7 linked regions of the Rattus norvegicus genome follow. The protein of the gene in region 2 interacts with the protein of the main gene of each other region in a biochemical or structural test. Links are inferred from orthologs where the notes say so. Each region holds a gene or a part of one and is shown on either strand. Other genes may lie near its edges.

The links.
Region 1: the proteins of Jun (region 2) and Runx1 form a complex in vitro, tested with the Homo sapiens proteins (2 studies listed by BioGRID). The link is inferred for Rattus norvegicus from reciprocal best matches to the Homo sapiens genes JUN and RUNX1.
Region 3: the proteins of Jun (region 2) and Ets1 form a complex in vitro, tested with the Homo sapiens proteins (2 studies listed by BioGRID). The link is inferred for Rattus norvegicus from reciprocal best matches to the Homo sapiens genes JUN and ETS1.
Region 4: of the proteins of Jun (region 2) and Mapk10, one has a biochemical effect on the other in vitro, tested with the Homo sapiens proteins (7 studies listed by BioGRID and IntAct, with this or other methods). The link is inferred for Rattus norvegicus from reciprocal best matches to the Homo sapiens genes JUN and MAPK10.
Region 5: the proteins of Jun (region 2) and Runx2 form a complex in vitro, tested with the Homo sapiens proteins (2 studies listed by BioGRID). The link is inferred for Rattus norvegicus from reciprocal best matches to the Homo sapiens genes JUN and RUNX2.
Region 6: the proteins of Jun (region 2) and Batf3 form a complex in vitro, tested with the Homo sapiens proteins (2 studies listed by BioGRID and IntAct, with this or other methods). The link is inferred for Rattus norvegicus from reciprocal best matches to the Homo sapiens genes JUN and BATF3.
Region 7: the proteins of Jun (region 2) and Atf2 form a complex in vitro, tested with the Homo sapiens proteins (4 studies listed by BioGRID and IntAct, with this or other methods). The link is inferred for Rattus norvegicus from reciprocal best matches to the Homo sapiens genes JUN and ATF2.

Annotation. Positions count from the first base shown.
Region 1 is NC_086029.1:45,414,581-45,418,339, forward strand, and holds part of Runx1 (runt-related transcription factor 1), read right to left. Parts: intron 396-3,759; coding exon 239-395; intron 1-238.
Region 2 is NC_086023.1:115,009,948-115,014,413, reverse strand, and holds the start of Jun (transcription factor Jun), read left to right. Parts: upstream 1-1,420; 5' UTR 1,421-2,278; coding exon 2,279-3,283; 3' UTR 3,284-4,466. UniProt on the Homo sapiens protein: Transcription factor that recognizes and binds to the AP-1 consensus motif 5'-TGA[GC]TCA-3'.
Region 3 is NC_086026.1:39,362,115-39,366,340, forward strand, and holds the start of Ets1 (protein C-ets-1), read left to right. Parts: upstream 1-1,312; 5' UTR 1,313-1,591; coding exon 1,592-1,673; intron 1,674-4,226. UniProt on the Homo sapiens protein: Transcription factor. Directly controls the expression of cytokine and chemokine genes in a wide variety of different cellular contexts. May control the differentiation, survival and proliferation of lymphoid cells.
Region 4 is NC_086032.1:7,039,611-7,043,369, forward strand, and holds part of Mapk10 (mitogen-activated protein kinase 10), read left to right. Parts: intron 1-1,716; coding exon 1,717-1,841; intron 1,842-3,759. UniProt on the Homo sapiens protein: Serine/threonine-protein kinase involved in various processes such as neuronal proliferation, differentiation, migration and programmed cell death.
Region 5 is NC_086027.1:23,867,481-23,871,239, reverse strand, and holds part of Runx2 (runt-related transcription factor 2), read right to left. Parts: intron 2,374-3,759; coding exon 1,895-2,373; 3' UTR 1-1,894. UniProt on the Homo sapiens protein: Transcription factor involved in osteoblastic differentiation and skeletal morphogenesis. Essential for the maturation of osteoblasts and both intramembranous and endochondral ossification.
Region 6 is NC_086031.1:105,219,528-105,223,807, forward strand, and holds the start of Batf3 (basic leucine zipper transcriptional factor ATF-like 3), read left to right. Parts: upstream 1-1,254; 5' UTR 1,255-1,299; coding exon 1,300-1,368; intron 1,369-3,622; coding exon 3,623-3,727; intron 3,728-4,280. UniProt on the Homo sapiens protein: AP-1 family transcription factor that controls the differentiation of CD8(+) thymic conventional dendritic cells in the immune system.
Region 7 is NC_086021.1:79,136,542-79,140,300, reverse strand, and holds part of Atf2 (cyclic AMP-dependent transcription factor ATF-2), read left to right. Parts: exon of another isoform or gene 1-62; coding exon 63-212; exon of another isoform or gene 213-251; intron 252-1,142; exon of another isoform or gene 1,143-1,178; coding exon 1,179-1,385; intron 1,386-3,759. UniProt on the Homo sapiens protein: Transcriptional activator which regulates the transcription of various genes, including those involved in anti-apoptosis, cell growth, and DNA damage response.

The sequences.
Region 1 (3,759 bases), on a different chromosome or scaffold from region 2:
TGTTTTACTGAATCTCACAGTTTGTGTTCTGCCCATCGTGTGGCCCAAAGTCACCAGTCACAATGACCTAAGTTATTGTGAGCCAATTTAGTCACCAGACGTGATACTATCCAGTTGGAAGTTTTAGCTTTCAAGTAAATATTTTAAATAAATATCACTGTGTGGCCTCAATGACAGGAGGCCGCTACTAGCTACTAGTTGGGTTCAAATTCCAAGCCCACCCGTGACAGATACGCACCTCTGCCGCTCCGACCGACAAACCTGAGGTCGTTGAATCTCGCCACTTGGTTCTTCATGGCCGCGGTGGCGTTTCTCAGCTCCGCCGAGTAGTTTTCGTCATTGCCCGCCATGACGGTGACCAGAGTGCCATCCGGAACGTCGCCCAGCGCTACCACCTAGGCACCAACCAAAGGGACAAAGGCAGACGTCAGTGTCATAGGTACGTGACTGTGTGTGGCACTTAACGGTGACGCTTTCTAGTTTTCAGAAGAACCGTCATAACTCGAGTATCGTGACGGGAAAGAGCTTGCTGTGAGCGGTGGGCGTGGATTTCCAAATAAGGAAGACATGGAGATTAAAGGGAGAAAGCCACAGGAGGACACAGTTGGGGACAAGGCAAACAGGGACGGGGACTGGAAAGCTACCATTTCTCATCAGTATCCCATACAACCTCAGATCTGAAAGACTGGAAGTCTTGTGTTTGTAGATTTGTGATCTAATCCGACTTTTAAAAAAGATTTGCTTTAGTATTTTGGATTAAGTGTATGTGGGTGGTCATGTTCTTGAAGGCCATGAAGGCCAGAGGCACAGAGGACCCTGGGACTAGAGTTGTAGGCAGACGTGAGCCACCTGACATAGGTTCTGGGAGTCAGAACCATTCTCTGATCACGTATCATAGGTTCTCAACTACTGAGCTGTCTCTCTGGCCCCACCTTTTACTTGCCTGGCCCCCATGGCTTGGCTGCTATTCGATTCTCTTAGCACTACGGTTTCATGATGCAGCCTAGAATGGCCTTGAACTCACGGTCCTCTTGCCTTAGCCGGTGAGGCCAGGGTTCACAGGTATGTGCCACCAAGCTGGCGTCTTTTGACTTCAGCTAAGTTTTTCAGTCTTTACTTGATTTGGCTCTCTTTGCCTTGTTCCATTTTCAAAGTGGCCACGGGGTTTCAAATCTAAATGTCTTGAGAGTCCGGTTTGTTCCAACCACTCCAGACACAGGTTGTCAGTCTGCAGTGAAATTTCTGGCTTTTATCCTAGTTGTGTGGCCCTCCTCAGGCAGGTTTTCTCGGGTCAGTAGGGGTGAGCGTCGCTTCACCTGCTGCCACACTGTCTTTTCAGTTTTTGCACACCCTTGGCTGCACAACCCATCGGAGGGATATTTCTCCTTCTGTACGTACGAAATGACTAACCTTGCCACAGATCTGCTAATCTGGCATTCATACCCAGTCCCTCTGCTCGCCACCCTTACTGATGAAGTCATGCCCCCTTCTCGCTGTTCCACATCCTGCAGATGGCTATGTGGGTGATATTATTCATCATGGCTGCTCCATACCCGAGTTCTAAAGAACATAGGTCAGGAGATTGCCCCAGCCACCTTGAGGGATGGACAGACAGGACGCCAGGCCATCACCAGGACGCCCTGCCCTCTGGTACTGGGTACAGGTAGGTGCCTTGCTATCTCTGTAATTTTTATCTGTTTTCAGCTACTTACTTTGTGAAACAAGGACCCAGCCCCTTGCCTCTGCTTTTAACCCTTTCATGTCAACTGTTGGACACGTTTTCTACAAAGGAGATTTTAAAACTCTTATTCTCCAAGCAATCTGTAATTAGATGTTTCTATCCCACCACAAGTGTTTGATGGCCTTTAATTAGGGGTGGTAATATGACAACTCTTTTGTTTCAAAGGACATCACTGCCGTAAATCTCCCAGCCTGGTTAATTGATCGTTATTGTCTTTCTACTCCTACAAAATGCTACTCCTGTAAATTCTGATTTTAGTCTAATTTTTCCCCCATTTCTTTCTTCGTTCACCCCCCATCCCCCCACTGCATAGTTCACTCATGGTGTTGAATAGTGTCCTCTGTGAAAATGCTTCACTTCCTTGTCCTCATCTCCCTACAGAGACCTAGGCTTTTCCAGTTCATCTCAACACCCACTGGGCATCCAGGGTACCGAATCTACAGCAGGGCTTCCAAACTGAATGGCTGACTCTCCGGGCCATGTCTCCTAGGAGACTAAAGTGAGTACATCCTGTCCCTTAGCACCCAAAAGCATGCTGAGTCATGGAACTCCTGCCAGGCCTCAGTGTGCCTCAGTTTACCACTGTTGCTCCAGTGACCCCCCCCCCCCCATTACCGAGAGAACAAACCCTAGAGGCCCTCTCATCTACAGCATGAGAGGACCATGGTGGCTAAGAAAAGCTTGTTGGTGATGGAATTCAAAAGTCTAAAAATTAGGAGTTTAACTAGCAACACCCCCATTTCTAAAGGAAGTGGGAAGGGGGCATCCGGGGGCCCAGTTATCACTTCTCTGGCCTTTTTTTTTTTAACTTATCTCCAAAGAGTTTTGAAGGAGTAGGGAAGGAGACAAAACTAAATCCAGGGACATTTAACACCATGCTTAAACCAATGACAAGTGCACTTAGGCTAGGTTATTAGTGTTACTGTTGTTTTATATAAAGCTAAGATGTCTTCCGATTGGATATAGGTTTTGTTAATGAGAGACGATTATAAAAAGGATGAGAGGAAAAAAAAATCAAACTTCAAACAGAAATGCGAAGCGGCATCTGCAGTACAAAGCCATAAACAATAGGTAAGGGAGAGAAACATTTACGTTTAGCACAGACCAAACAGACAAGAAGGGACTTGCTGGCCAAAGATAGCTCATATTTTGTTGAACTTCTCTCTTCTTCAAGTATCAGGAAGTTGGGCAAAATATCAGCTGCCCTCTCCGCTCTAAGGACTTCCCAGCACTGCTCTTGGCTAGCCGGTTCTCAGTTTGAAACTGGCATTTTCCAACAATTTTAGAGGCTGAAGTTAAAGTTAGCAATTTATTTACTGCAAATTTCTTAATCTTCCTGAGTTTCAAAGAGGCCGTGGAGTGGAATGTATAATTTATCTGAGATGATATTTAATGCATAGCTAGGGATTGTGGTCTTCCTGCCAGAATTATATTTATTTATTTATTTTTATGAAAAGCATACTCCATCAGCACCCATGGTCTTTGAACTTCCTGGCTGAAGGTATGTTTCTATCTTTGTGCTCCGGTGTACCAGGGGCTAAACAAACTATACTATTACAGTGTTACAAAATCTATTGCAAGTCACCTAAGCCACTTTGTAGGCGGCATCTGCAAACACTGCTTAGAATGTAGCAGACTTCCCAATCTCTCAGCATTGAAACGGTTTCTCTGTGCTAAAAGGTCAGGTGTGCAGGTGCAGAGAGGGGTAGGAGGACCATGAGCAACATTTTAATCTATTTTCAAGGAATTCGTGATTTTAAATCTCTTGACAATTCTGAAGATTGAAGCGGAGGACTTAACAAAACTTCAGCAGATTCTGGAAGACGCTCTCCCTATGATCTGAACGCACTGCTTCCCATGATCTGATTTTTATCTCAGGGGATAGGATAATTCCTGCAGGATTAACCCCTAAAGAGATGCCTGGGTCTTAATTTAAAAGTGAATGTGAACAACCTTTTCCGGTAGAACCCACCTCAGTGTGTTTGGTAGGGACTGGCACACAGAGGGACCAGGGACCC
Region 2 (4,466 bases):
CCACTCTACTTCTAGATGAGACCAATAAAGTTCAGAAAGTTCTGAGATTTGCACTTTTGCCCTGGGAGAACCAAGCTCGCCACCTCTTTAGTCAGTCTTAAGGGGTAGAGGGTGGAGGGCGGATAGCAGAACCTTAGAAAAGAAACAACTTACATGTGTCTAGCGCTTCCTAGAGGCCGCACAGGATATGAATCCACCATCGAGCGGGGAGGGGATTTTTCAGTCTTTCTACCAGGGACTCCTGCTTAAGCACCGTGACTCGGGGCGAGTCCGCAGCTCTCAAGGCTTGTTTTCCCAGAAGCAAATCAGGGAGGGAGGAAGGGCGGGCGCGAACTGAGTGTGCGCGGGGCTGTGTGTATGTGCTAGTGCAGGCGAGCGCTGGGGTTTCCTGAGTTTCGAACCTTTATATGTTGCTTTCCATACCCCAAGGAGCCGGGGTGGCATCTTTCACACCTAGAAGGGGGTCCCTCCGAGGTAAAGCGAACCCCTCCCGGCACGTCCCCAGAAAATGAAGTGTTGTGCCGGGGACCCTGGTGAATTCATTCCGAGCACAGCAAATCTCTGGTTTCCAGCACAGCACACTGCGGCGCAGATCCTTCTCCGAAACTAAACTTCCATGCGCACTCGGCGTGGGAGGGCCACTCTCAAACCCGCTCAACTTCAACCCACTTGCCGCTCCCGCACCCGGGGCGAACACAACCATATTAACCCGCGTCGCTCTGTCTCCCGGAAGTGCGGGGGTGCGGAGCCAGCTTCAATCGCCCAGATCATTCAGCCCTTTCACGGGTGTGTTCGTGTGTTCGTGTGTGTGTGTGTGTGTGTGTGTGTGTGTGTGTGTGTGTGTGTGTGTGTGTGTGTAACCTCTACTCCCACCCAAGCCCTCCGCCCCAGGCCACCAGCGCGTCTCCCCAGCTTTCTGGATCCCCGCGTCTCGGTCTGGGTCCCCAGCCCTGAACTTGAGCCCGCCTCCGACAGACTCCGCAAGGGTCCAGCGGACCCGGCAGCCTCCGTCACTAGACAGCCAAACCAAGACGTCAGCCCACAATGCACCGGGCGGGCCGGGAAAGACGCGCCGGGGAGGGAACCCGGGAACACAAGCCGGAGCAACGCGCGGGAGGGGGAGGGAGGTGGAGAAAGAAGGGCCCAACTGTAGGAGCGCAGCGGAGCATTACCTCATCCCGTGAGCCTTCGCGGGCCCAGAGAAGAATCTTCTAGGGTGAGGTCTCCATGGCGACGGGTGGGCCCGCCCCCTTGAGAGCGACGCAAGCCAATGGGAAGGCCTTGGGGTGACATCATGGGCTATTTTTAGGGATTGACTGGTAGCAGATAAGTGTTGAGCTCAGGCTGGATAAGGACTCAGAGTTGCACTGAGTGTGGCAGAGACTGCCTAGCTGGAGAGCGCTCAGGCAGACAGACAGACGGACGGACTCGGCTAACCTGGTCGTCCGCGGACTCCGGGCTGTTCATCTGTTTGTCTTCATTTTCTGACCAACTGCCTGGATCCAGCGCCCGCAGCTCCTGCACCGGTGTTTTGGGGAGCACTTGGAGAGTCCCTTCTCCCGCTTTTCCCGGAGAAGAAGCTCACAAGTCCCGGCACTGCTGACAGCATCGAGAACGGCTCCGGACCGCGCGAGGAAATAGGCGAGCGGCTACCGGCCAGCAACTTTCCTGACCCAGAGGACCGGGAACAAGTGGCCCGGAGCGAACTTTTGCAAAACCTCTTCTGCGCCTAAGGCTGCCACCGAGACCGTAAAGAAAAGGGAGAAGAGGAACCTATACTCATACCAGCTCGCACAGGCGGCTGAAGTTGGGCGAGTGCTAGCCGCGGCTGCCTAGCGTCCCCCTCCCCCTCACAGCGGAGGAGGGGACAGTTGTCGGAGGCCGGGCGGCAGAGCCCGATCGCGGGCTTCCACCAAGAATTCCGTGACGACTGGTCTGCGCCGCCGGAGAACCTCTGTCGCTGGGGCTGGTCCGCGGGCTCCGAGGAACCGCTGCTTCCCGAGAGCGCTCCGTGAGTGACCGCGACTTTTCAAAGCTCCGGATCGCGCGGGAGCCAACCAACGTGAGTGCAAGCGGTGTCTTAACCCTGCGCTCCCTGGAGCGAACTGGGGAGGAGGGCGCAGGGGGGAGCACTGCGGTCTGGAGCGCACGCTCCTAAACAAACTTTGTTACTGAAGCGGGGACGCGCGGGTATCCCCCGCTTCCCGGCGCGCTGTTGCGGCCCCGAAACTTCTGCGCACAGCCCAGGCTAACCCCGCGTGAAGTGACCGACTGTTCTATGACTGCAAAGATGGAAACGACCTTCTACGACGATGCCCTCAACGCCTCGTTCCTCCAGTCCGAGAGTGGCGCCTACGGCTACAGTAACCCTAAGATTCTGAAGCAGAGCATGACCTTGAACCTGGCCGACCCGGTGGGCAATCTGAAGCCGCACCTCCGAGCCAAGAACTCGGACCTTCTCACGTCGCCCGACGTCGGGCTGCTCAAGCTGGCGTCGCCGGAGCTGGAGCGCCTGATCATCCAGTCCAGCAATGGGCACATCACCACTACACCGACCCCCACTCAGTTCTTGTGCCCCAAGAACGTGACCGACGAGCAGGAGGGCTTCGCCGAAGGCTTCGTGCGCGCCCTAGCTGAACTGCATAGCCAGAATACGCTGCCCAGTGTCACCTCCGCGGCACAACCTGTCAGTGGGGCGGGCATGGTCGCTCCCGCTGTGGCCTCAGTAGCTGGCGCTGGCGGCGGCGGCGGCTACAGCGCCAGCCTGCACAGTGAGCCTCCGGTCTACGCCAACCTCAGCAACTTCAACCCGGGTGCGCTGAGCAGCGGCGGTGGGGCGCCCTCCTATGGCGCGACCGGGCTGGCCTTTCCATCGCAGCCCCAGCAGCAGCAGCAGCCGCCTCAGCCGCCGCACCACTTGCCCCAACAGATCCCGGTGCAGCACCCGCGGCTGCAGGCGCTGAAGGAAGAGCCGCAGACGGTGCCGGAGATGCCGGGAGAGACGCCGCCCTTGTCCCCCATCGACATGGAGTCTCAGGAGCGGATCAAGGCGGAGAGGAAGCGCATGAGGAACCGCATCGCTGCCTCCAAGTGCCGGAAAAGGAAGCTGGAGCGGATCGCCCGGCTAGAGGAAAAAGTGAAAACCTTGAAAGCGCAAAACTCCGAGCTGGCGTCCACGGCCAACATGCTCAGGGAACAGGTGGCACAGCTTAAACAGAAAGTCATGAACCACGTTAACAGTGGGTGCCAACTCATGCTAACGCAGCAGTTGCAAACGTTTTGAGGACAGACTGTCAGGGCTGAGGGGCAGTGGAAGAAAAAAATAACAGAGATAAACTTGAGAACTTGACTGGTTGCGACAGAGAAAAAAAAGTGTCCGAGTACTGAAGCCAAGGGTACACAAGATGGACTGGGTTGCGACCTGACGGCGCCCCCAGTGTGCTGGAGTGGGAAGGACGTGGCGCGCCTGGCTTTGGCGAGGAGCCAGAGAGCAGCGGCCTGTTGGCCGCCACGCTTTGCGAACGGGCTGTGCCCGCGCGACCAGAACGATGGACTTTTCGTTAACATTGACCAAGAACTGCATGGACCTAACATTCGATCTCATTCAGTATTAAGGGGGGTGGGTGGGGGCTTACAAACTGCAATAGAGACTGTAGATTGCTTCTGTAGTGCTCCGTAAGAACACAAAGCAGGGAGGGCTGGGAAGGGGAGGGAGGCTTGTGAGTACCAGGCTAGATTGCGGATGAACTCCCCTGGCCTGCCTCTCTCAACTATGTATGTACATATATTTTTTTTTAATTTGATGAAAGCTGATTACTGTCTATAATAAACAGCTTCCTGCCTTTGTAAGTTATTCCATGTTTGTTTGTTTGGGTGTCCTACCCAGTGTTTGTAAATAAGAGATTTGAAGCATTCTGAGTTTACCATTTGTAATAAAGTATATAATTTTTTTATGTTTTGTTTCTGAAAATTTTCAGAAAGGATATTTAAGAAAACACAATAAACCATTGAGAAGTAGCCCCCAACCTCTCTGCTGCATTATCGATAGATAATGAGAGCTAGGTGAAATGACAGCTGAGTGTCTGTATGCTGGGGTGAGAGCCTGTAGTCCCTCCCGTCTGGTTGTAGGAATAGACACCCTGCATGCTATCATTGGCTCATACTCTCTCTCTCCCCAGCAACCCACAAGTCCAGACTGTTGACCAGAAGATGGTGCAGTGTTTCTTAAGGCTGGAAGAAGAGGGTGTTGCAAGGGGAGAGGGACAGCCCACTGGGAAAGCAGACGCTTGAGTTGAGAGCCATATCAAGTAGCATGCGCTGTGATCGTTTATAATAATAATAAAGACTTCAGCAATTAGATGTTTATCTCAAAGCAGGGACCCATGGAAGGTTTTACAAAAGGTGTCTCCTTCCAACTTGGATTCTGACGACTCCTAGAAAAAGATGACCTTTGCTTGTGCATATTT
Region 3 (4,226 bases), on a different chromosome or scaffold from region 2:
GCTCTGAAGTGTCTGTTCTTGTCATTTGGAGGTCAGCATTGTTTTCTCATACCTTGCAGAAACACAGCTGGACAGCAACAGTCTGTTCTTTCAAAAAACCAAACCAAAACAAAACAAGGATTATCACATACACATATTTTCCTCTGGTCACCCAAGAAGGGTGGAGATGGGAGATGTGACCAAGACCCAGAGATTGACACTCTATTGCTGTCCCCACCCCACCCGCCTGATTTGTTTTGGGAATCCCGTACACTGCTAAGGCTCCAAGGGGCAAAACATGCTTAGCTAAAAGTCAGCAGGTGTGAATAAGTTTACTGGAGCAGAAGTTACAGTTGCAGGCAAGTGGTAGCAGTTCAACACATGCTTAGAAATCAGGAAACAGTACTAAGAATAGCTTTCCCTGAGGTCTCTCAGGACGATTTATTACGTTGTCTTTTATTCAAAGGTAGATGTCAATACCTTGCTGGCTTCAGCTACACTTACGGTACCATGCCTTGGAAGATTTGTTCATTTATACCAACTATCTCGATGTATAATGGCTATCAGCGGCAAATTATCTATCGGTTATTCTCACTCATCTTGATATATATATATATATATATATATATATATATATATATATATATATATATATAAACAGAATAATTAAAACACAGTTACAAGTTCTGGATTCCCTTGGCTAATCCAGGAGCTTTGGAACTTTGAGTCTTTGGGATCTTCAATAGGCATGGTTCTGAGCTAGTGAAGCCGATTGAGGTTTCTGTTCAGCAATGCTGTCCTTGCCTTGCCCATCCATTCCACGGGTGGGATTCTGAGTCACGTCTAGGCTGGAATCCTCGCAGGACCCCCCCCGCTGTGGAAGCCCCCCCGCACGCGCCCCTCGTTGCGCACCCACGCCTCATGTCCTGTGTGTCAAGCTTTGTGAATGAATGATGTACACGCACTTGGAAAACTATGCTGCTACTGGAGCGGGGCCGCAGCGGGTGACCAAGCCTCTAAGAATGCGTGCAGAATCAGACGGACTTTCCCGAGACTCTGCACGCCAGCGACCCGCTCGCCAGCCATTCTCCGGAGCGGTGGGCCGAGGCTCTGGCCCGGCGCGCGCAGAGTAGCTGGAGCGGCGCCGCCCCGCCAGGCTCGCCCGCCCTTCCTTTCGCTTTTGGAACGCGGGTGATGATTGGCTGCAGGCGCTAGGCCCCGCCCCGCCGCCCCATCCCCGCCGCCCGGTCGAGTGGGCAGGGCAGGCGCTGGGATCCTGGGCCTGGGCTCGGTGAGGAACGCCCTAAAGCGGAGGCGAGCCTCACTGCGCCAGCGCCGGCCAGCCGAGAGAGTGAGCGAGCGCCCGGGACAGAGGAGCGAGCGGGCGAGGCGCGGGCGAGGCTGGGACCCAAGCGCGCTCTCTGCTCCGCCAAGTGCCAACTTCGCGCCGACTGGCTGGGCGCGCACCTTTCTGCCGGGCGATCAGCGGGAATTTGAGATTTTAGGGCTGCGCTCTGTCCCCTTCCCCTGAGTTCAAAATCCCTATTAAAAAGCAAAACAACAGTTACAGCAAACTTGCTCTCATCCCGCCGGCCCCCTCAACTCCGGCACCATGAAGGCGGCCGTCGATCTCAAGCCGACTCTCACCATCATCAAGACAGAAAAAGTGGATTTGGAGCTTTTCCCATCCCCGGGTGAGTGGCGACAGTGAGGCCCCCACCCCAGCTCCGTGTCCCCTCTGGCCTGCGCTGCTCTCTCAGGAGCCCGGGATGTCTAGACCAGGAGACTGTTGGTGGCCTGAGACCCTTGGGTTTTTTGGGGGTGGTGGTGGTGGTCTATTTATTTTTACAGCTGCGTTTTTTGTGACTAATGGGAAAAAGCTTATAGAATTTCCAGTGCCCCAATTCCGGTGTTTCAATTTTCCCACATAAGCGAGAACCTTCTGGTAGTATTCCTTAATGTTAGCAAGGGGGCCTGACAGTGCCTCTCAGGTCACCCCCATGCCCCTCCCAACTGTGTCTCCCCAGTACTGGAGCTTGATGGGAGGGTCCTGTGGAGTGCTGAAAGGGTATTTGGCTAGCTGCCTGGCCTTCCAGCACTTGTATCCTGAGCTCCCCTGTCATAAGAACCTTAGAGTCTCACCCCTCTTTTCTAGGTTGAGGAGGAGGTAGTGGGAGGAGAAATAAAATGAATCTGTTTAAACTTTGGGAAAGTCTGATTCCTTCCCCGTTCAGTTTGGCTTCCCATACCAAAGGTCCTCGAAGAAGAAAAGCATCCACCAACCAGATGTGACTTAGTGTCTTTGGTTCATGGTTTCATTTAGCAGGCTTAAAGGATTTGAAGAGGAGAGGGAGAGAAAAGACATCGAATTTTGTCTTAGAAGGGAATTTTAGTGTTCCACAGATGGAGTCAACTCTTCAGGATTCCTGAAGCTAGCAGGGCGTCAGGGAGTGTGCCTACTTTTAGAAAGGAAACTGGTCTCAAGGAAAGGTGACTTGGGAGGTGAAAGGATGTAGAGAGATACAGGGAGAAGGGGATACGTTTTGGAAAATAATCAGCTGTCAAAGACACAGACCTCTGTTGGGTCTGATTAGCCGTAAGGGTTGCTGCTGTCCCTGATCCTTGCCTCTGCCAGGAAGAACTGCATATTTAACCTGTTCTTTATACTTTACATACAAGCCAAGATGAGGTGTTGACATTCTGATGTACTTCAAAGTGTTAATAGAGGCATTTGGGTCCCATCCCTTCCAGAGACTCTCCTGATATTCAAGGGCAGGATTGCTCTGTACAAAAACTGGGCTTGTCACAGTGTGGTGGCAGTCAGAGCCAGGCTGAGCTGGGGGTCTCTCCTAGCGCTGTGCAGACGTCTCAGGCACCCAGGGCTACAGATAGAAATGGTGCCGCGAAGGTTGTTTTGGGGTGTTCGAGGGAGCCAGGAGTTCTCTGTGTTACGATGGATTGAAACCACATACAGCAGAAGGGAAGGGCTAGCTCACAGGGAAGGGATATGAACTCAGCTAATAGGCCCTTTCCGTAAGAATGGCTTGTTTATACGCGCTGTGCATGTTTATGGGGAAGAGACAGATTTGGGATCTGGGAAACATCATGTGTATTCTGTCAGTTCACATACCTACAGTGGACCTTTCAGGCTGGCAGCGAGTGAGAGCGAGCCCCTGGCCGCACGTGTTTTAGATCACACCAAATAGCCGAAGCGTGTGTTTTGGTAATTTAATATCAAGTATGTGGGATTTGAAAGCATTTGATTCCATTACTTCAGTTATTGATGAAAAAAAAAAAAAAACGAACTGTGTCTGAGGAACTTCATTGAGCTGCTCCACCAGTAAGATAGAGCTAGGCAGGCCTCTGCTGCAGTCCATTTTCACTATTTGAAGTGACTTTACAGTGGCTTTAAAAAAAAAAAAGTCAAAAAGGTGTTCAAGGAATGCAAGTTGGAAGTGAACCTGGGGGCTACGTAGTGTATTCAAGATATAGTGAAATCCATTCTCAAAATTAAAAGGAGGAAAGTTTCCAAGCCACCGAACTTCATGGCAACAAAGCAACAAAATTTCATTTGGTCCAAGAAATTGTCTTCTGCCATTCAGGATGACACACACACACACACACACACACACACACACACACACACACACATATATATAATATAGTATTAATCTATATATAATATATATCATCTATATATATCTGATACTTTCTTAGACAAAATAAACAGCAACGATTTATTATTATAACTTTTTTAAAGCATTTTTTTCCTGGACTGTAGTTGCATTGATGCAAATATTGCACCCATACCCCAGATGATATGCTAGAGGCACACGGAAAAGTTAAAGACACTTAGGCAAAATTTTGCAAGGAGCCAGTGGCTGCAGGAAGATGAATCCGTTTCTGACTCGTCAGGGACATGCAGTGAGTGATACTGCAAGTTACCTTTGTTGGCTCAGCAAGGAAACTTCCATGGAGACTTAGAATTTTTTTCCGTGCAGAGATGGAGGAAACCCTAGCCAGGACTGGTATCTTTTGCTAACAGAAAGAAGGCTATTAAGTAGATGTCAAGTAGACCTTTACCTGGCCCATCAGGTTATATAGGACATCTGTGTCAAAGGTTGACTGTTCGCAGCATGGGGTCGTGTGCACAACTGGGACCTGAAGTGTTTATCATCATGGCTTTTCTTTGTAGTGCTCCATTTCTCACGAGTGGAGACAACTTGTGTCGTGTGGTGATGTTACCT
Region 4 (3,759 bases), on a different chromosome or scaffold from region 2:
CATTTTATTACACTACACATGAACATGTGAGTCCAAGTATGGAATCCATACGATGTCTTTCAAATAAAACACATTGGGGCTCTAAATTTGTCAATCCCTAAACGTCCCCATTTCCTATACTGTCATGCACACTAGCACACTTAGTCCTAATTATTGATGTCAGTTACTAGGAAGCACTGTCATTAAATAGAAATATTTCAAATTGCTCAGCCAACTGTGGTTTTACTCTCTTGAACCAGAAGCTTTACTGTGTGTTTGAAACACATTGATTTATTTTTCCTATTAAAACTTCCAGATAATTTGAGCAACAGTAGTGGTTTAAAGTATTACTTATTCCTGTTAAGAAAGCCCTTCATGTCAAATCTCCTCACATGCTTTAGAAACTAAAGATCAATGTGACCTCAGGGCTAAGTTTTCAACTGAGGTGGTGAAGTGCTTGTTTGTAAGCACTGGGACCTTGGTTTGATTCCCAGAACCCATGTAACAAAAGATGAGCAGGGAGCATGCGCTTGTCGTCATCCATCGTCCCAGTGTTGAGGACTGAGCATGCGCTTGTCATCCCGGTGTTGAGGAAGACTGAGCATGTGCTTATCATCCATCATCCCAGTGTTAAGGACTGAGCATGCACTCATTATCTGGTGTTGAGGAAGACTGAGCATGCGCTAAAGATCCTGGTAGTGAGGAGGACTGATCATGCGCTTGTCATGCCAGTGGTGAGGAGGACTGAGCATGCGCTAATGTTCCCAGTGGTGAGGAGGATTGAGCCTGTGCTTGTCACCTCAGTGTTGAGGAGGTGTGGACAGGTCAGCCAGAGTGATCTAACAGATAAAGTTCCAGGCCTGTCTCAACAGATAAATAAAAGAGGTTCACAGTGTTTGAAGGACAGTACCCAAGGTTGCACTCTGACTTTTACACTTGTGTGTCTGCACACACAGGTGAGGGAGAACACACATGTTTCAAACACAAAAATGGATGCGACTTCAAAAAATTGCGCTATTGAACAAATACCCTTTCTGACTGCCACAGCGTGTTTGCATAACTAGCTCTGCCCCAACCATACAATTCACCATGCCACCTTGTACACGATATGGAGATTTTTATTACTGTCAGCCATGGTATGGGGTGCCTTTAGCCACCAGATTCCATCAAATCATGATTCCTGCATCTCAATGCCTGATGAACGTGGAATGTTACAACAAAACTCAGTAGTTAAAATGTCGTTTTTATAACACCCAGATTGCTTTTACATATCGAGGGCATCTGGGACACATTGGTCTGCAAGTCAATTTGAACTTTACTTAAATTCTGCTGATCTGCTTTGTGTATGAGAACAGGGAAGCACATTGATTGATTTCCTTCATCCGCCTCTACTTCTCAACTGTGCATTTCCGTAGATCGCCATGCGCGATCCGGTCCATGTAGCATCCTTACAGATGAGCCACACGAGTTCCTTTACCGATTCAAACTTCACGGCTGATAAATGCTATTTATAATTCTTAGTGAACAGTCATACTCGAGTATTCACAACGTATAGCCCTCAAAGAGCTCTCAAAGTGGTAACTTAGATTTTGAGACAAAAAATTGAAAGCTTCATTTCTTTTTATAGCATGTGACTATATTAGGATGACTGTGGCTTTTTTTAGCTTGTTCTCCAGACAATAAACACCCGTGCCAAAATGAAAGCTTAGGAGTCTCTGTTCTCTTTTGTCATTTCAGCCAGCCAAGCCAGGGACTTGTTGTCAAAGATGTTAGTGATTGACCCAGCGAAGAGGATATCGGTGGATGACGCATTGCAGCATCCGTACATCAACGTTTGGTACGACCCTGCTGAAGTGGAGGCGGTAAGGCATTGACCACGAACCACCCATAGCAAGTGCTGAAAACAGTTAAACTCACACAGAGGAGCCCACCATGAGTTTTAAGTTCATTTGTTTCCTGGACCTCCTGTGAACCGGGTGGGTTCCGGTGCCATTTCCTGTCGTTCAGGATGGGTTCCGGTGCCGTTTCCTGTCGTTCAGGATGGGTTCCGGTGCCATTTCCTGTCGTTCAGGATGGGTTCCGGTGCCGTTTCCTGTCGTTCAGGATGGGTTCCGGTGCCGTTTCCTGTCGTTCAGGATGAGTTCCGGTGCCGTTTCCTGTCCTTCAGGATGGGTTCCGGTGCCGTTTCCTGTCGTTCAGGATGGGTTCCGGTGCCGTTTCCTGTCGTTCAGGATGAGTTCCGGTGCGGTTTCCTGTCGTTCAGGATGGGTTCCGGTGCCGTTTCCTGTCGTTCAGGATGGGTTCCGGTGCCGTTTCCTGTCGTTCAGGATAGGTTTCGGTGCCGTTTCCTGTCGTTCAGGATGGGTTCCGGTGCCATTTCCTGTCCTTCAGGATGGGTTCCGGTGCCGTTTCCTGTCCTTCAGGATGGGTTCCGGTGCCGTTTCCTGTCGTTCAGGATGAGTTCCGGTGCGGTTTCCTGTCGTTCAGGATGGGTTCCGGTGCCGTTTCCTGTTGTTCAGGATAGGTTCCGGTGCTGTTTCCTGTCGTTCAGGATGGGTTCCGGTGCCGTTTCCTGTTGTTCAGGATGGGTTTCGGTGCCGTTTCCTGTCGTTCAGGATGGGTTCTGATGCTGTTTCCTGTCCTTTAGGATGGGTTCTGATGCCGTTTCTTGTTCACACGTAGGACTCCTCCAGTTTGTCTAACTGTCAGCCTCCCCACAAGCAGGTTTCATGGGAGAGAAGAAGCTCATTGGTGGGGATGCTCCCTCACTTTTATTTCCTTCATGGCACATCGACATTGATACCATGCGGTATTTAAGGATGTTTCAGTAAGGGAGCTTTTCCTAGGACACTGTTGGCTTAGCAACCTACATGAACAATACACAAGAAAGTAGATATTTCAAATGGGTCCTTATTTTCTAGGTTGATTCTAAATAACACGGTATGATATGTCTTTGGTCTTAGACCTATGTAAGGTTTATAATTCGTAGAAACTTAACTCTTCACTTTAAAGATATTTTCAAGCACCTACTTCCTTCTCTGTGTGTTCTTACACATTTACTTCAGCTTCTCTGTGGGGAGCTGCCTCTTAGCTGCTGCCCATGGGGTCTCTGCAGACCTCCTGTTGAGAAGTTTCTTTCTGTGACATTTGTTAGTGTATCTATCCGCAGTCTGGTCTTTTCTTGGAAATGGCAACATGTCTTTAAAGTATTCTAACATGGGTGGTAGTTCAAGTCACTGATGTGATTCTCCAGCTACTGATGTGATTCTCTAGCTTTGCGGTTGAATTTACTCTGAATCACCTAACGCCTTGCTTTTAATCCCTGTGCTGCAAGGCATGCTTGCTTAAAGATAGTCTTGCTTCGCTTAAATTTCTTCTTCTCTGCTCTCTAAGTGTTTTCTGGAGCCAACGGTGCTTAGTCCTACCCTACCCAACTCTGATTTCCTCTTCCTTCTTTCTGTATGTGAGAAACAAGTGGTTAGTGTCCAAAGAGTCTAGGAGGCCCTAGTCCTGACTTCCTCAGCTGCACAAAGGGATCTTTACCATCTTGTGTGATGTTTTCCTAAATTTTGTCCGTCCGAGCAGTTCTACCGTGATGCTGGTGTATCAGTTTGCTTCAGGCTTATTTTAGTAACTTGCTTTGATTTTTTTTTTTTTTTTACAAAATGCAATCTTTCCGGATTGGAGTTTTCTAATATTCCTTTTTTTTATTTATTTTTTATTTTTTTATTATTAACTTGAGTATTTCTTATATACATTTCAAGTGTTATTCCCTTTCCC
Region 5 (3,759 bases), on a different chromosome or scaffold from region 2:
GTGGTGTCACTGAATGATCTCTGGCTTGGATTAGGGAGTCACACTCAGGGATTGGCCACAAGGTGCCAGGAATGATCACAGTACGTCCTCCTAGGAGGGCTGGATCTTATGTTCACACACGATGGCAGACACCAACTGCTACATACATTGTCTTCCCTGCTCTCTACGGCCCTCCCTAGTGAGAGCCTTGAGTATCAAAGGCTTCCTGGAGGTCCCCACAGGCTCTGTGTCTACTGACATCAGCTACTACTTCAGCTGACCAGCTCCCCTAGGACATTGACTTCATTCCACTTCCTGCAAAGCTGCTGTTGGGGGTGGGGGCTCCTTGGGTAAGGCACTTTTGGGTTCCCCTGAATGGCTGTGTGGTAAGGCTGGGGGGGGGGTGCAGACTCCTAATGCATCTGTGTTCCTAGGCTGTACGTGTCATGGTTGAGCCTTTACTACACGTGTGGCTTTCAGCTGCCTAGGCCCTCAACCACGAAGCCTGCAATTTAGAGTTCTGCTCAACTCTGAGACCACAGAACACTTTTCTGCAGTTCGGCCAATCACTTGTGCTTGGCTTTTTAATATGACAAGACTCATAATGGCCAACCCCCCACCCCCCAAAAATGAAGAAATTAGGAAACCACATGTCTCCAGCATTTCAATGCTAGCAAAGAGGCCGCATTAAGCGTCAAAGGGCTGCAGGGTTATAGGTGGTTTTTGTTTTGTTTTGTTTTGTTTTTTAATCCCTAATTATTGCTTTAACAGGTAAAGCCGTGTCAGAGGCAATCAAACACCTGAAAGAAAGAAGCATAGCATTTCCTTCATACATCATGGAAACAAAACTACAACTAAAATATTTGGAAATGGGAGTTATCATAAAAAAAAAAAATCACATTATGCCTGAAGGAATTGAAATTGCTTAGCAATATTTCCGATATGGCTCTAGCCCACTGAAGAAACTTGTTATTTAAGAAGAAGCACTTTTAGAGACCGAAGTCAACAGACCATTACACTAAGAAATGTTCCAAATGTCCAAATGTCATTAAATAATTATAAATATATCTTTAAAGTTATATGACCATTCACGTTAGCAAGTTACTTCAGATTTTACACATATTCATAACTTAAAAAAGGAAAAAAAGAAAGTAAAAACAAACAACACACAGCCAACTCAAACACTATATCATTATGGCTATAATAAGATATTGCCATTTTCAGTTTTGCATAAAGGGAGAAGCAGGAGGCACGGGGGAGGGGAATGGGACTTATTTTTTGGTTAAATGGGGGAAGTGAGGGAATATTTTAAAAAAGTAAAATAAAATAATCTGTCCTGATCAGTATTTTTGAAGTCACTTTCTTAGAATAGAAAAAAAAAAAAAAAAAGAGTGAACTCAAAAGTTCAAACGCATACCTGCATCAAGTCTGAAGGGAAGCTTTGGAACAGGTATTCAGAGTGGACGGTAGGGGAAGCAGCCACGCTGCCTCTCGTCCCTTTCCGAGTGCACCACAGCTTTGTAAGCTGGTCTGCAGAGTGCACAGGCCTCCACACAGCAGAGGCCTTGATTTGGTTGCAAAGCACAGGGAGGAAGTGGCCGTTCTTCCTCCCGGACCCAGAGTCCACCTCTCTGAATTGTTGTGGGAACAGGTCACTTACGAAACCAGACCAGATAACACCTTTGACGGTCTGCTCCTTGGTAGAGGAGACATCTTAAATAGTAAACAATATGAAACCCAGTAATGACTGTCCCCACACTCTTAGGGTTGCCAGATCACAACTGGGGAGTGAATGAGAAATCTTCTAGATAGCTAATCAATATACATATATAGGCACTCTCTTTATATATGTATATATTAACACATGTGGGACGTGGCCACTGCATGCCACTGGGCCATGCACGGTTGACAGACTTCAATAGGGTCGCCAGACAGACTCATCCATTCTGCCGCTAGAATTCAAAACGGTTGGGGAGCTGCTGTGGCTTCCATCAGCGTCAACACCATCATTCTGGTTAGGCAAATTTGGATTTAATAGCGTGCTGCCATTCGAGGTGGTCGTGCACGGTGGGACCATCCTGGAAGGAGACCGGTCTCCCCCGGGGACCATTGGGAACTGATAGGACGCTGACGAAGTACCATAGTAGAGATATGGAGTGCTGCTGGTCTGGAAGGGTCCGCTCTGGCTTTGGGAAGAGCCGGGGTAGGGTGGTGGCAGGTACGTGTGGTAGTGAGTGGTGGCGGACATGCCCAGGGACATGCCTGACGTGACTGGCGGGGTGTAAGTGAAGGTGGCTGGATAGTGCATTCGTGGGTTGGAGAAGCGGCTCTCAGTGAGGGATGAAATGCCTGGGAACTGCCTGGGGTCTGAAAAAGGGCCCAGTTCTGAAGCACCTAAAAAAATTACAACAGAAGACGGGGAGGGGGGGGAAACATCTGTAAATATCAATTAAAATGATAGAGACGTTACAAGATTTTTTTTAAAAAAAAATTAAAAAGAAGGGAAAAGAGGAAGCTTTCTCCCAAGGACCAGCAAGTCACATACAGGTTTTCAAATGTACTTCTCACCTCAGACTTTACTTGTCCACCTTACTGTCTCAATGCTATTTAGCCCTGAGTTCTCCTCCACACCCAGAGAGTCCCAAAGGGCTTTCACCAGCAAGTGCCAACTAGGCCCTGTGTGGAAGCCAGCCCAACTCCAGGCACAGGATCACTCACCAGACTTTAAGGCTGGATCTTCATTGATCCCCCACTCCCACCCACACACACACACACACATCCCTTCCTTTTTGTTTCTTATTGCACGGAGTGAAACTTTTACTAAATCAGATCAACTGATTCTTCCTAACTCAGTGTAAAAAGATAAATCCCAAGTAATAGGATTAGTGTCCCCTTTGGGGGTGGAGGTAAGGATGGGGGCGGGGGATGGGTTTCTTTGTTAAGAAAAGTGCATCAAACAGATTCCCTTAACATAGTCTTACTATTTCTTCTTAACCTTTAAGAGAATTTAAAAATCTTATGGTAATTCTCATCTTAGTCACAGCGAAATCAGAGTAGATTTCAGTAATCTAACACTATCTAGCTTTTGCCCGGGGGTGTCGGGGAAGGCCTAGCCCTCAGAAATTCTCCCTTGAGTCATAAACTAGATAAGAAGGTATCGAGAGGGAGGGTGGAGGATGGGGGTGGGGGGATGTGGTGGAAGGGTGGAGGGTGGGGTGAGGACCTTGACAGAGAGCCTTGATAAATGACACAGGACCTGATTTAGGCCAGGGACCCACAGCAGCTTTCATTAGAACCCAGTGCCTTGGAGAGATTGAGCTGAGAGACTCATTGCCAGCTCCCTGTCCCCTGCACTAGAGTGAGCTCTGGGTCTTTCAAAGCTTAGATGTCTTCCTAGAACTTTCACAAGTTATCAGTGTCTCCTTAGGAGATGTCTCTGCTGTCTAACTCATCAAAGTGTGGCTAGAAGACTTTGCACGTGGAAACTAGTTTCCTGAAATGGATAAAACGCATAGCTGTGATTTAGGGGTTCACTATAATTTTCTAGAACCAACAGAATTACAAGACCTTTTGTTTCATCCATCCATGTTTACGTGCTAAGTCTGTGATGTCTTCTGGAGCCCCCCTCACTGCTCGACTTAGATTCTCAATCTGCCTTTGCTACAGGTTTTAGCTGTAACAGAAAGTGCCGGGCAGATCTGGAGACCATAATTGTCCCTCAGCCTGATTTGTACTCAACCCTTCTTCTCTGACAGCTGGCTATGTGTCTTGAAAGGGTCT
Region 6 (4,280 bases), on a different chromosome or scaffold from region 2:
CACATGCACGCGCGCACACACTCTTTATGTTGTTGCTAGAAGAGGGATTTGGGCGGAACTCATAGCATGGAAAGGCTCTTCTATTAATGCATGGTTCATGAACACTGGCTATGCTATGACCTACTAACACATATGACCATCTCTCCTCGAGCCTGAAGCCAGCCAGGCAGGTTCAAACAAGTTCCTCTCTCCAGGCTGAGGTCTTAAATCCTGGCACAGAGCCATGCGCACCGGGTGGGGACTCAGGAAGGTCACCTCTCCCACTGCCCAGAAGCCAGAAGGCCAAAATGAACACGTGAGAAAGGCCACACTTGTCTGGTTCTCACCTGTCCCCCCAGTTCGCGGTTAGCTTTTCTCCCCTAAGCACAGACCACAAGTCTGCACCTGTTAGGGTTTTTTGTGTGTTGTTTTTCTTTGCTGGGCACAGTCATCTTGACTTGGTATTTTAAAACCCGGCAGGCAGGTGAAGAGGGGTGAGATATGTCTCTACCTAGTCTGGCATAAACGTGGCAACCATGTAGTTTAGTCTTTAGTAGGTATCACCTTAATCTTAAGAAGCAGAAGCAGCACGGCCTGCCCATATCCCTGAATACGTGAGGATGGACGGCTAGTGTGGAGGACACCTTTCACAGTTTCAGTTCACAACCTCCTTTTGCCGCCTTCCCCCAACCCCCATCAGAATCCGCCCTCCGAGTCACCTCGCCCCCTCCCTCCTACTGGACCGGACGACGCTGCGGTAGAAAAGCCCTGAGGCTCCCGCTGCCCCGTTCGCGCGGAGGGTCTCCGCCGCTGTCCCTGCCCACTGGCGCCTCCGGTCCAGGTGCCACGTCGCCCGGAAGAAATGCCCCCCATCGCCGGTAACCCGCGCTTGGGAGTAGAGGGGAGGCAGCGAAGGGACAGTGAAGCCACTTCGTCCGAACTTCCCCGGAGCGGCCGGAGGACCGTCCAAGGCGGCGCCGCGCCAGCACCTCGTCCCCACCCACGCGGGGTCTCCTCCGTGGGTGGGCTTCGGTGCTGCCACGTGACTTCCACGAAGCGCCTGGCCTTTAGCGGAAAGCAGCGACTTGGGTGGGATCCTGGACCCCGAGGTGCGGCGAGAGGGCGGGGAGAGGAGGAAGCAGGGGCGGGGTGGGAGCAGGGGGCGGGGACGGGCCGGGACTGGACGCGGGGTGGGGAGGCGGGCACGGCCAAGCCCGGAGAGCGGGAAGCAGCGGGGCGGGGCGGCAGGTGCGGGGATGCGGGCGGAGCGCGGGTAGCAGAGCCCCGCGTTCAGGGCGCCCCGTGTGGCGAGCGCGCGGCATGTCGCAAGGGCCCCCCGCGGGCGGCGTGCTGCAGAGCAGCGTGGCGGCGCCTGGGAACCAGCCGCAGGTAGTGGACGTGGGGGCCGGGTGCGGGGACCGGGTGAGGGTGAGGCCAGAGCTCCAGGTGAGTCCCCTCGGTGCGCCTCGAGCGCTTGGAAAGGCTGCAGCCGCTCCGGACTCGGCGCCGGACACGTGGGTCCGCGCTGCTGGGGGCCGCTGCATCCTTGCCTCCTGTGGGAGCTGGAGGGAGGGAGCCTGGAGCTCTGATATTACGAATTCAGCCCAAAGGGGCGGTTCGTCCCTGCATCCAACCTACTGGTTGAGATCCGTATGGGGAACATCGGACCGGTCAACCTGCGGGTGTGGGGTTGTGTCTCTAGTGGGCAGACTCCACCCCCAGCACGGGTGGAAACTCCTTGCCCCAATACGATCAGCCCTCCCTGCTGTCCCTAACTTTCAAAGCTGCAGTCACAAGAAGCTGAGACCAAATCGAGGGCCAACTTGAGACCACTGTTGGAACACTTCTTGGCCACCTTTATCCAGACCAGGTCTTATATTTCTTAGTCACTCCCCCAAAGACTCCCAACTCTCTACTTGATGTGTAGTGTCCCAGGGCGACCCTGGAAGTCTGAGCCAAGTAGTTGGGGTGGCCTTGTACTACTATTTGCTTCTGACTAGCCGAGCCTCGGTTTCCCCATCTATAAGATGAACTCTATAGCATCTCTCTCCTGAGGATGTGTACACAGGTTATGTGAGCGATGGGTGATTTGTGTCTCCATATGACATTCCTGCTGAGTGGGGAGGTGCGATCCTCCGTGACAGGTGATGGGTCCAGTTTACAGTGACAGCTCCCAGAGGACAGGAGGCTCCCAGACTTGTCGGCTTTGGAGACTAAAGAGGCATTATTTCCTGTCAAGCACAGTGAGGTCAAATCTCAGGTTATATTAGGGGAGCAGTATCCTGAGTGCAGGGCAGGATCTCAGTTACTATATACATTGGAAGGTTGGGGGTCATGCATCTAATAGGGTTTGTGAGGGTGTAAAGCTGGTTACGTTGTTCATGTGGCATGTCCCCCGGATGCTCCACATATGTTTGTAAGACCTTTTGGGTGTGGTGATGCAGAAATAGAATCCCAGAGCTAGGAAGGAAAGGGAAGGGCCAACCTGGGCTACATGAGTCTCTGTTGAAGAAGAGGGGGAGGAGGGGAGGAGGAGGACTTCTGGGAGACATGTTTTGACACCTGTGTTCTCCTGAATGATGTCTCCATGCCACCCCCAGTGTTGAGTCTGATGTCTCTTCTTACCTATGCTGGAGATTCTTGGCTGAAGCCCTGGGTTTGTACACCAGCCTCTGGGTTTTATCATGGCTTGGGATTATACCGAGCCTCACCTGGCCAGGCAAGAGCCTGTCGCTAAGTTCCCTCCCCATCTAGACACCTTCTAGACAATTTTTTTCCTCCCCTGACAGTGTCTAATGCAGTTCTGGAAAGCAAACCCTTTCCGCTGAGTAAGCCCCTCACTGTGACAAGGGCATTTTTTCTGCCTGCCCACTTTGTGCCACCTCATGAAGAATTTTTGGATGTTTGGTTAAGAACTCTCAAGACGAATCACAGATTTGCATTTGGGATAGCCCCTGGCCCCTGAAAAGAAAATGTCAGCCAGGCATTGTTCAAGAGAGCATGTTGTCATTGGTGTTCCACAGTTTTCCATGTACTGGTAGAGTTGTGTGGTTGAGATTGGTACTAACTGCATAATTATGGTCTGTACACAGTTTCAGAAGGACTCGACAGTGTGCGGTCGTTAAAGGCTGTGCACAGCAAGTTCTAGAGAGCACATACCCCGGTCTTTCTCACTAGTGGATGAACAGTGACAGTAGCGCTCTTCCAGGCAGAAGCCCTGCAGGGCAGAGGCTTGTGAGCATTGGTTTGAGGACCAGCAGACCTGAGTTCCACTTCCCACTCACCCTCATGCTGGCCATGATACCTGGAGAACTTCCCTAACCTGAGTTTCTTATTCCTCCTTGTCTCTTAGTGTTTTTATTTTTTTGTGGTCCGGGGCCTCACATATCCCACACATATATGGTGCCACTGAGCTACACCCAGACCTCTTATTCCTCATTTTAAACCGACAGTCGTTCTGTGCACTTTCCAGGATGGGAGTGGAGATCAATGTAGCAAAGCCCCAGCACAGAAAGGGTCCTCCTGACAAAGGCTTTCAGCAGCCCACGGGGCCGCAGGGGACCCCATCCAGGGCACCAGATGAAAGCTCTGTGAGCAAATCGAGAAAGGTTGAGAGTCTCACCTCCCCACATGTCATCCCCAGAGCCCCAAGGATGATGACAGGAAGGTTCGAAGAAGAGAGAAAAACCGGGTTGCAGCTCAGAGGAGCCGAAAGAAGCAGACACAGAAGGCTGACAAGCTTCACGAGGTAAGCCTGCGGTCAGGGCAGCCATTCTGGCAGGACAGCCACAAGGACAGCCATCCATGCAGGACAGCCACAGGGACAGCCATTCTCACAGGATACCCACAGGGACAGCCATCCTTGCAGGACAGCCACAGGGACAGCCATCCTTGCAGGACAGCCACAGGGACAGCCATTCTCACAGGACAGCCACAGGGACAGCCAGTCATCCTCTACCCAGGGGATGGGGCATGATGACAGCACTGTGGCCATCGCCAGTTCTTCCAGTCTGATTCTGTTGGGTCTTTCCAGTCTACTGCTTTGCTTATGTATTCACAGGCCTCTTCCTCTCAGTTCCAGCCCCCTGGGTTCTTCCCACACTTGATTTTCTCTCACTGTGCACTCAAACAAAAGCTGGATGGAAACAGGGAGGTGGAGACAGAGTACCTAGGCTGAGGCTGTTTCAGACAACAGAGAAACTGTCTAAAGAAACAACAATAACAATGCTAACAGTACTTAAAGTTCTGGGGGAGCAGTTCAGTGCAGCGCTTGCCTAATATGCACAAAGATACCGTTGGGA
Region 7 (3,759 bases), on a different chromosome or scaffold from region 2:
GTCGAGAGTTAGATTTGCATATAACATAGGAACCATTTTTTAAAATGGTGTTTGCATTTCAGAGATTAAAAGCTGCTTTGACCCAGCAACACCCTCCAGTTACCAATGGTGATACTGTAAAAGGCCACGGCAGTGGATTGGTTAGGGCCCAGTCAGAAGAGTCTCGTCCACAGTCCTTGCAGCAGCCAGCCACGTCCACTACAGAGACTCCGGTACGTGTGTTGCTTTCACCGTTCACCATTCTGGTCATCCTTAAAAAGAAAATACAGTACAGCTTAGTGACTTCTTTATATAATTATAGTCTATAAGCTTATGAGTAGAGTATAAATATAGCCATCTTAATTTGATATTTGTTTTGTGTTGATAAAGAATAATTTTTCAAGTTTATCCTTTGGATCACATGCTAGTAGTCAGAAGGTCTCGTTCCTCAGCATCATATCCAAGAGGTTTATTTGATTTTATTTTGTTTTGTCTCCCACACTGTGACAGTCTGTGGCATGGTTTGGGATTTGTAAGACTAAGAGGGCACCTAACATTGGACAGTTCTATTATGCAGTCTGATTAATGACTAAAGATTTATATCCTGGGCTGAATAAACTGGTCCATTAATGAAAAGCCAAAGGCCCCTATGGGGCTCTCCACACCTGGAAAATAAATATTGTAGAAATAACTATTTTAATGCAACTGGCATATTTAATATTTTTTACTTCAAAATAGAATTGAAAAAAGTTATAAATTTATAGTGACTGGTTTTCAAAGAATTAATGATATAAAATCAGTTAAAAATAGCATTTGTAAAAATAGTTTATCAAAATACACATAATTTTTTTTCTTTTATTGTCTAGCTGTGGGTTTCTGTAGTTTTTCCCATATGCTGCTGAAGGAATTTTGTCTGATAATGGCTGAAAAAGGCATGGATCTATGAGTATAGTAGAATTTCTTTAGCAAGACACTAAAAAATACATTTTAAGGAAGTCATTGACTATATATTGCATTGAGCATTTCACTATCACATAGTTATTGAAAAGGGATTCAGCCATAGGGTGAATTTTGTTCCACAGTGCTGATGTCATCAAGGCATACAACATAAAGTTAGCAACCCTCCCTTTTATACTGTGTCTTGCCCCTGTTAATTTACTTACTGCACACTCACACGTAAGCTCTCCATATTGTCACAGGCGTCTCCAGCTCACACAACTCCACAGACCCAAAATACAAGTGGCCGTCGAAGAAGAGCAGCTAATGAAGATCCTGATGAGAAAAGGAGGAAGTTTCTAGAACGAAATAGAGCAGCAGCTTCAAGATGCCGTCAAAAAAGGAAAGTATGGGTTCAGTCCTTAGAGAAGAAAGCAGAAGACTTGAGCTCACTAAATGGCCAGCTGCAGGTATGGGCGTAAATGCAGTTTACTTCTATTGATTAGTTAGGAACACAGTTTTTTGGGTTTTTTGTTTTGTTTTGTTTTGTTTTTTTCTTTTTGGCTTAGTTGTTTGGTTTGGTTTGGTTTTGTATGTGTGGCTTTTTAAGTCAAGGTTTCGCTATTTAGCCCTGCTGTCCTGGAACTCCCTCTATAGACCTGGCTGGCCTCCAACTCAGAGAGCCTCCTGCCTCTGCCTCCTGAATGCTGGGTTTAAAGGTGTGCACCACTACCTCTGGCTAGGAACATAGTTTTTACATTTCTCTCTACATGATCCTGCAAATACTTTAGGACATGATATATGCAGCATGTATGTGGACTCGGTGGTAAGCCATGGTTTCCTAAACTTTGTGAATTCTGACCTGAAGTATTACTAAGCTTTCAGCCCAGGCACAATGAAGAAATTTTATCTGTAACTGTTTATTTGTGTGGTACACAAATACTGTAATTACCTTGCTTGAACTTTATAAAGTTGTTATTTTAGGTTTATTAACCACAAAGTTGTTCAGTGGCAGTTTTTACATTCTTTCTTTGAATTACAGTTCTATTGTTCTTTCTTTTTTTTATTTTATCTTAAGTAACTAGTGCATATGAAAGGTGCCAGATTGACAAGCTTTGGAAACTGAAGGCTTCTAATTATCCACAGGACAGATACTGTTCGGCCAAGTGCCATAACAAATTATTTTATACTGCCCTGCTGATGTGCCTCAAATACATTTCTTAGGATCTCATGTGTTATAAAGATTTTAAGGCTCTCCATTTAGCTGTTTGGTAAGTGTCTTAGGGTTTCTATTCCTACACAAAACATCATGACTGAGAAGCAAGCTGGTGAGGAAAGGGTTTATCCAGCTTACACTTCCACATTGCTGTTCATCACCAAAGGAAGTCAGGACTGGAACTCAAGCAGGTCAGGAAGCAGGAACTGATGCAGAGGCCATGGAGGGATGCTGCTTACTGACTTGCTTCCTCTTGCTTGCTCAGCTTGCTCTCTTATAGAACCCAAGACCACCAGCCTAGGAATGGCACCACCCGCAATGGGCTGGGCCCGCCCCCCTTGGTCACTAGTTGAGAAAATGCCTTACAGCTGGGTCTCATGGAGGCGTTTCCTCAACTGAGGCTTCTTTCTCTGTGATAACTTCAGCTTGTGTCAAGTCAACACATAAAATCAGCCACTACAGTAAAATTTGCAATAAAAGTATCAGTACCAAATGTGTTTCTCTCCTTCCTTCCTTCTTTCTTTCCTTTATCGCTTTCATTCTTTCTTTGTTTTTGTCATTTTGCTTTTGATATTGTGAATATTCTTCAGTAGTATCTTTTGAACTAACAATTAACTAGAAATTAATGTTAATAAATTATAGTTGTATATTATAGGTCAAGTTTTTGTTTGTTTAACACCAGGACTAGAAGTTAGGGCTGCAATATTCTACTACATTGCCTCCTTTATTATTTTGAAGTTTTAGCATAGGGAGCTAAATTGCCCAAACTTGCTTAAACTCAAGATCTTCTGGTCTCAGCTTTCCAAGTAGCTGGTGTTGTAAATATATGAATAGATCAATCTTTTGAATTATCCATTCCCTGTTTTAAGTGACTCTTCCTATATAAATACAACTTACAGTAAGAGGGACAACTTGCTTCTTAAACCTATGTTAAAGGTGCCACAAATAAAATTGTTTAAATTGTGTCCTGTATAACACTTACCCAAACTAAATTTTATAACAATAAAATTTTCCTATGTGAGACAGACAGACATCCTTAAAAGCCTTTGTTGCATTTTGTATATTGATTTGGTTATTTTAAGACAAACTGATTGCCTCTTAAAAAACTTATTTTAGCCACCTCTAACTTGTAATTTGAAAAAAGATTAATCATGACTTACTAAACAGCATAAACTCCAAATATATACTAGAATTTAGTAAGAAATATCATTATCCTGACAAATGAATTTACTAAAAAATAGTTTCTTAGAGTAGATTTCATTTCTCTTTTAAGTAAAAATGAAACATTATACATACACTGATGTACATGTAGACCATGAAAACTATTCTTTGCCAAACCTAATTAAAATATCAATCACTATTATTTACATTATCAGATACTCATGCTAAATGAATTAAATATATCTTTTTATTGTTCTTAAAACTTTTTAAAAGTTTTTTGAAATTATAATTTACATACGTATCTCTCCCCCTTTACTCCCTCCAAACTCAGAATATACTCCTTCCACTCTCCTTCAAATTCATGACCTTGTTTTTTGTTTCAACAAATTATTACTTCATACACACACACACACACACACACACACACACACACACACACATACTAAATATAACCTGTTGAGTCTATA